2 linked regions of the Neurospora crassa OR74A genome follow. The protein of the gene in region 1 binds, or shares a complex with, the protein of each later gene. Links are inferred from orthologs where the notes say so. Each region holds a gene or a part of one and is shown on either strand. Other genes may lie near its edges. The genes, in order: NCU04943 and NCU03889.

Region 1 (3,786 bases):
TCGTATGTCAAGCAGATGACGAGCTGCATACAGGGCATCTGGCAACTCATCTATTCCTCTCATTTGTGGCGGCGATGCGTGCAAATCATCCAGCCCAGTGGACTTGATAAAGAGCTCGCTTTCAAGACCTGATGCGATCACGCCTGCATACGCCGAGGGACCGCCGGGGCACAAGAATCCAGGCTGTGGTACCCTTTCCAAAACGCCAAAGTGGACACTGGGAACCATCATCTTCATCCACGAGACTGGAGACGGACCTTCTGACATTCAGACTCGGTCAATCCAGTTCCAAGTCACCAATGAAGCCACGGTGCATGTAGTCGGTTGCCTCTACTACTTCCTGACCGACGCGGGAGAGGATCCACGTCTTCGGATTAACTGCAGCGGGCGTACAGATCGTAAGAGTCGGTATAGCACCCAGACAACAAATGCCGTATTGTGCCCGAGAAACTAGGAGTTGAAGAGCAACGAAACGTGGTAATGTGACGATGTGGATTCTGCAAAGCCGTAGGTTTATCGGCCGTCTTTTTCGGGCGGAAAAGGCTGCTAACCCCGAGGACTCCATAGAGCAAGCATCGCAAGCACAGGAAGCACCACTCTCCCTCTGACGTGACGTGCAGTATGAGTCGAAAGCCACGTACTGTCAAGCCGACAGTGTCCCCGCTCAAGACCAAGCCCTCTCAACAACGTCCCCTACACTATCGAAGATCCCATCCCGATCGTATACGGTAGTACCATCTCTTCTGTCGTCTCTCCCTCACGGGTCCTCGGTAACTTTGAGCTCGACAAAAGCACAGGTGACGGCATGAGCTTGGCAGCCATCAGCTTCAACCTGTGGCTCAACACTCAGAATAGCCTCTTCGACTTCCCAGTGTTCGTCTACCATGACGACGTCAAACTGAGTGATGCCGAAACCTGGTATACCGGTTCATTTGGCGCTGGTCAACAGTCTCTTGCGCCGAAGACTTGCTCGTTCCGGTAGGATAACGAGACTCGGAAAATTGCGACCAAGGCGGATTGGTTTTGTATTGACGCTCATCCAGAGCATCCGTATGTTGACTCCAATACCGTAAGTCATGGGGTGCCGGTGGATCGAAGAGAGTATGTCAATTTCCTTTGGGCAGCTTCGTGGACTGCTAGAGTGGAATCCAGAGAACCATGTCAAACTCAAGGGAGGTTCATCAAGAGTCCCTCCTCCGTATATCGCTGTATCTGGCTAAGTAGTGATTGGCCAATTCCTGGTCCTCGAAGTGATGCCAACATAGGATGATGCGCATGACATGTCATACGAGCAGCTGCAAGGAGGTTTGACGCGGTCCTGCAGGCTCATGCTTGAGTTCCTGAGCGTCTTTGCATCGTACATGGACGCGCTCTTGATTCCATGTCTTCTGGTGTGGTTGGCACTTGGTGAAGAAAGATGGTGAGGACGGGGTTGACGTGGAAGAGCAGAAAAAGGAACTGAATCCCTCCACTCCATGGCTGTGGACAGTTCCCCACAAAACCCACTTGCGCCCAGACCCGGCGGGAGCTACCTAACTGTTAGATACACCCTATCCGCGGCGCTAAACTGCAGCCGCCAAGACAGCCTCGAGCAAGCATCCCAGACTCCCGTCCAAATCGCAACTCTAAACGATTGCAGATGCCACCTTGCAAAGCTTCCAGAAGCATTTGACAATACTTAGCTTGAAGCTACCTATCTACTCTGGGGGTCCATCGTTTTGTAACCCATCTACTATAGCTTCTAATACACAATATCCTCTTCACTTCATCTCTCATCAACGAGAAGCATTGCTGCTTGCTTGCTTGTCTTGCTTCGAAGCTCAGCGACTGTCGCATGAACCCCTGAAAGTCAGCCCAACATGGTCAGTCAACCAGCACGGCACTCCAGCAACAGACACCATCACCATTCCCTTCTCATGAACCATACATACTATCTTGAACTAACATCTCCTCTGTTCTTCCAGAACACAACCTTCAACTCGGCTCTCAAGCAGAGCACCTCCATCCGCAAGGACCTCGCCGCCCTCTCCTCGCACGAGCTCGACCCGACCTCTCTCACGCCCGCCGCTTTGGGCTCCCTCTCGGCCTCCTTAACCGCCTTCAACCGGACCATTGACGAATACAACCACCTCGCCAAGCAGGAGCTCAACGCCGCCAAGCAAGAAAAGGCCTACGAGAGGATACGCAACTTCCGGTCCGAGCTGCACGACTTCCGCACGCAGCTGGACTCTCTGAAATCCAAGCGCGAGGAACACATGCACGCGCAGAACCGCGCCGAGCTGTTGGGACGCAGGCCGTTTGTGGCCAGTACGCCTGAGAATCCGTATGCGGGTGCTGGTGCGACGGCGACAAGCAGCGCTACGGGTGGTGGAGGGTATGGAATATCGCATGCCAGGACGAATAGCTTGGCGGAGTCGGGGAGGATGCAGAGCAGCAGCAGCAGCGGCATACTGGGCTCCGGGGACGCGAGTCGCGAGCAGCATGCGCTGAGGGAGCAGGATTTCTTTAGGAGCACGCACTCGGCGCTCGACGATTACATTGCGCGGGGCCAGGCGGTGCTGGGGGATCTGAATCAACAGAGGGAAATCATGAAGAACACGCAGCGGAAGCTGTACTCGGTTGGCAACACGCTGGGGATCAGTGGCGATACGATCAGGATGATTGAGCGGAGGGCGAAGCAGGATAAGTGGATCTTTTGGGGAGGCGTGGTGGTTTTCTTCTTGTTCTGTTGGTTGGTGTTGCATTATTTGAGGTGAGCTTTGCTTGTTGCTGCGTTGGTGGTCGAAACATGGGTCTTTTGGGAAAGGAAAAAAGAAAAAGAGACAGACGGGACTAATTGTTGATGGGTTATTTTATTAGCGGTGGAGGAGGACTCTTAGCGAAGGTCCGTTCAGATTGCGGCATGGGGCCCGGCGACGGCGGCATCTGTCTCACAGTCATCAAGCGCGGAGTTTTGGGTGTTGGGCTTGGCCTGGTTTACTTTTTAACTAAACAAACATGGTCTAATATCATGGGCAGCAATGCGTGAACAATTCAAAACAAAGGTACCATATGCCCTTTCCCTTCATCCACCATGTACGGGACGCAGAAAAAATGACCGGAACAGTAGTTGTTTGACAGCAGAGTACCCTCTATTTTCACCTCTGATCTTTCCTCGCGGGTGGTCGAGTCAGGCCTCTCCTCTCCTTGAGGTTATAACTTATACCCAACTACCCAACCAATCCCCCGTCATGCGTCTCCTCCCCACCACACCAAAGGACACCCCCTAAAGGTCCCTCAGCGCAATAGTAAACAAGACATCCTTCGTCGCCCTAACCTCCACCACCTCCGTCTCCGGCAAGACATGATTGCTCGTGCTAACCTGCCCGCCAAACTCAGTCGGCCAATCCTCCACATCCCACTCCAATCCTTTTGTCCAGATCCTGCTCGGTTCTTTGACCGGTAAGATCCCCACCCACTTGGCGAATACATCTTTCTCCGGTTGATTCGCCTGGCCTGGCTCACGCACCCGGATGCGATGGGTTCCCGATTTGAGCAGGAAAGTGAGCGATTCCCCGCTGAAAAGGTACATCCTCCCGTCCGCATAGGTGGGCGAGGACTGGAAGAGGTAGAGGTGGTGAAGCTGGGAGAGGCCCTGGTCGACGCGGCCGCCGAGACCGCCGATAGCGACGATGTCCGGGGGTGGAGCGTCCGGTTTGGAGCAAGAGGGGCCGCGGAGGTAGTCAACGGACTTGGCAAAGTCGGTTGAGTATTGGCTGGGTTCGTGGATGATTGCAGTTTGGCTGG
Region 2 (4,262 bases), on another chromosome or scaffold:
TTTCCGGCCTAAGCGGTGGCAGCTTCTTCGATTCCAAGCCCGCCACATCCTCCCACCAATCCAAGCAGTCCATCAGCAGCCCACTGGGCTTCTCATCAACCCCTCCTCCTGCGCCAGCCTCTAAGCCCGCGCCCGCTTCCTCCGCCCTCGGTGACCTGTTTGACTTTTCCACAACAGCTACTGCTACTACCGCTCCTCCCTCGGCCGCCGCCCCGAAGCCTTCATCTGACTTCAGCTCCGCATTCAACCTTTCCAAGCCCGCCGCAACCACGCCGGCCCCTGCAGCCGTTACTTCAACAACACCAAACCCTCTTGCCTCTATTGCGACGTCTAACGCCTGGTCAGATGCAGGTGTATGGGGTTCCAACGAGTGGGCCTCCGCCCCTGAGCCCCCCAAGCCTGCGGCTCCTGAACCGCCCAAGCCAGCACCTGTTACCTCTATCCCTCTTTCTAACGATTTTGGATGGGGCAACAGCACCACCACCTCCTCCACTACCGGCGGCTCCTTCGCAAGCCAACCTATTGTCCCCAGCGCTTCGGGCGGCTTTGCCCCAGCACCAAAGGTGGCGGCCGATGAGGAGTTTGGGGGCTGGATGAGCAGCACTACCACACCAGCTGCTCCGAGCGGATCCAAGCCGGCTACCGGTTTTGGTGGCAGTGACGACCTGTTCTCAAACGTCTGGCAATAAGAAACCTTAGAACGACAATTCAGGGATCTCCGACATGGGGTTCAGAGGTAACCGAGTGCAGTCTACTGGGATTTTTGCTGTTGTCCTCGCGCCTGATGCCGACCATGTAAATATATAATCAACCGGCAGGTGATGTGAGAAATAGCTCGGACAAACTTATACCAAACCAAACCAAACCCATCAAGCGTCCGAACTTGTTTTTCCTTCTATACCACCTGACTGGAAAGGGGATGCTATCCACGAACACCATGTCGTACTTATGCTGTGGGAGTCTGATCTAGTTAAGAGTTAGGCAAATGATGGTTTATGCGTGACAAATAGGGGAATGATGAACAACGCAGTCATTCTTACATCAGCAAGTCATGTTTTGTTTTGGCATATTTACATTATAGACAACAAGTTATTGTTCGTTGGTAGGGCAAAAGTAATGCACTTTTATATAGGATCCTCCTATCTTTTGTAAGGTGTGTGTTGCCCTCATTAATGTCCTTCTGATGTCCTTGAAGTTTCAAAATGAAAAATCAAGGATGAGACTGAGAAATGTCGATGTCTGGCTTATACGACACGACGTATCAATGACAACCTAAGGTACGCAGAAACCAAATCCCAAATAAACAAACAAAACCGAACCGTCAACGCCATTGCTATGCCTTTGCATCTACCCGTCTGTTGTCGAGACAAAACATTAAGCCCAGTCTGTAAACCAAAATCCACACTTCGTTCAGAATCCACCAAAACACAGACCTACGGTCCTGCGTGACCTGCTACCCTCCCACCCATTGCCCCACCCTACATTGCACCTCCTCTGCGCAATACTAGTAGCGGCTTTTGTGGGAGCAAGCGGACTGCACATCGCCTGTACCAGCACTCCAACATCCAACAAGCTATCCGGACAAGCTCCATCCTGTCTTGATGTCCGGCTTCGCACGCATCCGTCTTATCATTCCTGATATTTGTCGGGAATCGAATCGTGCCGCCCTCTACATCCTTCGCCCTGTGTTGTTGTAGTGAACCCGATGAAGAGAACCTCCCTTCCTTTTGCTTCCTGGCATGTATTCGCATGTCGAAGTTCAATAGACCCAATAGACCCAATATTCAAACGACTTTAGCCCTCTCACACGTCGTGACTTTTTGAATCATTTAACCAACAAAAAGTCGATAAAGATAGTAAATGACCAGGAAGCTCCCAATAAGAATACCCGAGAGCTTGAGAATGGCGACCTTGTTCCCCGATGCGGCCATGCGGCCTAGACGGGTGGCGGAACCTTTGAGTTGAGAGCCCATGGAGGAGAAGGTATCGGTCTGTTCGTTGTTGGTGGGACTTGTCAGTTTGTTATTTTGTGCAGAGTAAAATCAAAGGAACCGTACCGTTTGGTCGATAACTTCGTGGTTGCGCGCCTGGTCGTAAATGTCAATCGTTACACCTCGAAGGGCAGAAACCTTGGAGGCTAGCTCGTCGAGGCGCGCATTATTTTGGCGCTCGCGCTCGTAGTTTGCGGACATCTTGATAATGGTAATGGGGGGGGGTTGTGTTGTGGTCGTAGTTGTATGTTGCGACTCGCTCAGCGGCCGTGTGGGAGGTTCACTCGTCAGTTTTGAGTATCGGGTTAATTGGAACTCGCTGATATGGCCCGAGTTTCGTATTATCGAAGATGTTATTACGTGTTATTTTGTCGCGCGCGCGGGGGTCGGCTTCGGTGTCTTGCAGCGTCCGTTGTTCGGAGTGAAGCCGTGGTGTTCCTAGGTATTGCTGAGTGCTATGGGGATGTCAAAAGGGGGTAGGTTGTAGCAGGTTCCAGATGCACTCAGTTCAGGGTCACAATGAAAGGACACCGGGATCATGCATCCATCATGATGGGGGCGGCCGGCTCACTGCAGCTTGTTGATGCATACACCAGCCACAGCTACGGCCTCCTAGTCGCGAATGATGTCAGTTTCGGCCATTTACGTGTGGCTGCGCGTAAAGCACATGCATGGTCAATGCGGGGTCTTTTTCGGGGGGAGCGGAGCCTGCTGGAGCCATTTGATTGTGCTCGTGGTCGGGCCACTGCAACTTTGGGTCCCGTCAGTCAGTCACCTACGTAACGACGAACGCCCGCTCTGCTCTGCCCGCTGGACAAGGCCCGGGTATTCAAAGTGGAAGGTGCAGGGCGCAGGGACGGAGTAAAGTAGAGAAGTAGAGGTACAGTAGTGTACGCTACTGCACAGCCCACGGCGGCAGTGCTTGCCCAAGCCCATCCCAGCGTCTCCAGTGATTGAGGGTCCAGTGCTACAGTTCTCACATGACGCGCGGCACGAGCTCCAGCTTCCATTTCCAAGTACTTCCATTTCAAATGTTGACTGTGATGAATTCCATGCCACTGTTTAGCCTCGCTCATCAGTTACTCCGATCTGTGAAGAAGAGGGAAAAAAACAAACTCTCAAACGGACAGTTACACCAACAAAAGAGCACGCACAAAGGCTTATCCTCCGGGAACAAGATCGTTCATCACGAACAACAAGTGACCCCAAGGATCTCCCCAGCATCTTGACAAACCGCCGTTGTGGGGACGCCCAGGTACCAACCTCGCATTTACTATGTACACAAGAAATTGACCGGGCTGATCTGCTTACTTGCTTGCCTGCCAGTGTGCCTGCAGGCATTGATCGGCCAGTGTCCCGAGAAATGACTGACGAACTCCATCTCTTTCTTTCTTTCTAATATTTCGCTGTCGCTGTCGCATTTCCACGGCATTCTCACCGCAGCCGCTCTACACGCCCTCGCCCTTCAAGACCCGCGCCAGTCCGCTATAGGGAGTTCCGCTTCGACACTTCAAGATGGGTATCAACAACCCTCTTCCGTCGTCACTTTCGTGTGAGTTTGTGTCCCCGGGGTTCCCGTGCTGTGCGAGCCCGACCCCGCAACTCCCCTTCGCTTCGCCGAATCCGACATCCTAACACGTCTGTAACCAGCGGAATGTAAGAAGTGCGGTAAAATCCTCGCCTCCTTCATCGAGCCCAAACAAGCCTTTGGTCCCGACAAGGTGATACCGCCATCAGTGCTCGCGAATGCCAAGGTACGAAACAGCATCCGCAACCTCAACGAAAGCGACCAGGTGGTTAACGTTCTCCTAGGGTCTTGCTATACTCACCGTCATCAAAGCTGGTTTCCTCGGATCTGCCCGTTTCGGTAGCGGCCTGGTAGTCGCCCGCCTCCCCGACGGCAGCTGGTCTGCCCCCACCGCCATTGCTACGGGTGGTGCCGGCTTCGGCGGTCAGATCGGTTTCGAGCTTACAGATTTCGTTTTCATTCTCAACGACGCGAGCGCCGTAAAAACCTTCGCCCAAGCTGGGTCACTTACACTTGGTGGTAACGTTTCGGTCGCGGCCGGGCCTGTCGGTAGAAATGCCGAGGCCGCCGGAGCCGCTTCGCTGAGAAGCGTAGCGGGCATCTTCAGTTATTCCAAGACCAAGGGCTTGTTTGCTGGCGTGTCTCTCGAAGGTTCTATGATAATCGAGCGAAAAGACGCCAATGCAAAGCTCTATGGTCGTCAGGTTTCCGCCAAGGAGCTCCTTTCAGGAGCCGAGCGCCCC

Evidence for each region.
Region 2: NCU04943 (region 1) and NCU03889 share a complex: the UniProt entries of both Schizosaccharomyces pombe proteins name them as parts of the SNARE complex. The link is inferred for Neurospora crassa OR74A from reciprocal best matches to the Schizosaccharomyces pombe genes bos1 and sft1.

What each region holds. Positions count from the first base shown.
Region 1 is NC_026504.1:819,341-823,126, forward strand, and holds NCU04943 (V-SNARE protein Bos1), read left to right. Parts: upstream 1-1,642; 5' UTR 1,643-1,859; coding exon 1,860-1,862; intron 1,863-1,964; coding exon 1,965-2,756; 3' UTR 2,757-3,056; downstream 3,057-3,786. Other genes in the region: NCU11043 (hypothetical protein), read left to right, coding at 34-310, 656-982; NCU04944 (thiamine pyrophosphokinase Thi80), read right to left, coding at 3,266-3,786. UniProt on the Schizosaccharomyces pombe protein: SNARE required for targeting and fusion of ER-derived transport vesicles with the Golgi complex.
Region 2 is NC_026506.1:2,053,138-2,057,399, reverse strand, and holds NCU03889 (SNARE), read right to left. Parts: upstream 2,801-4,262; 5' UTR 2,193-2,800; coding exon 2,058-2,192; intron 1,992-2,057; coding exon 1,830-1,991; 3' UTR 690-1,829; downstream 1-689. Other genes in the region: NCU03890 (stromal membrane-associated protein), read left to right, coding at 1-689; NCU03888 (DUF500 and SH3 domain-containing protein), read left to right, coding at 3,507-3,543, 3,642-3,745, 3,804-4,262. UniProt on the Schizosaccharomyces pombe protein: Vesicle SNARE required for retrograde transport within the Golgi complex.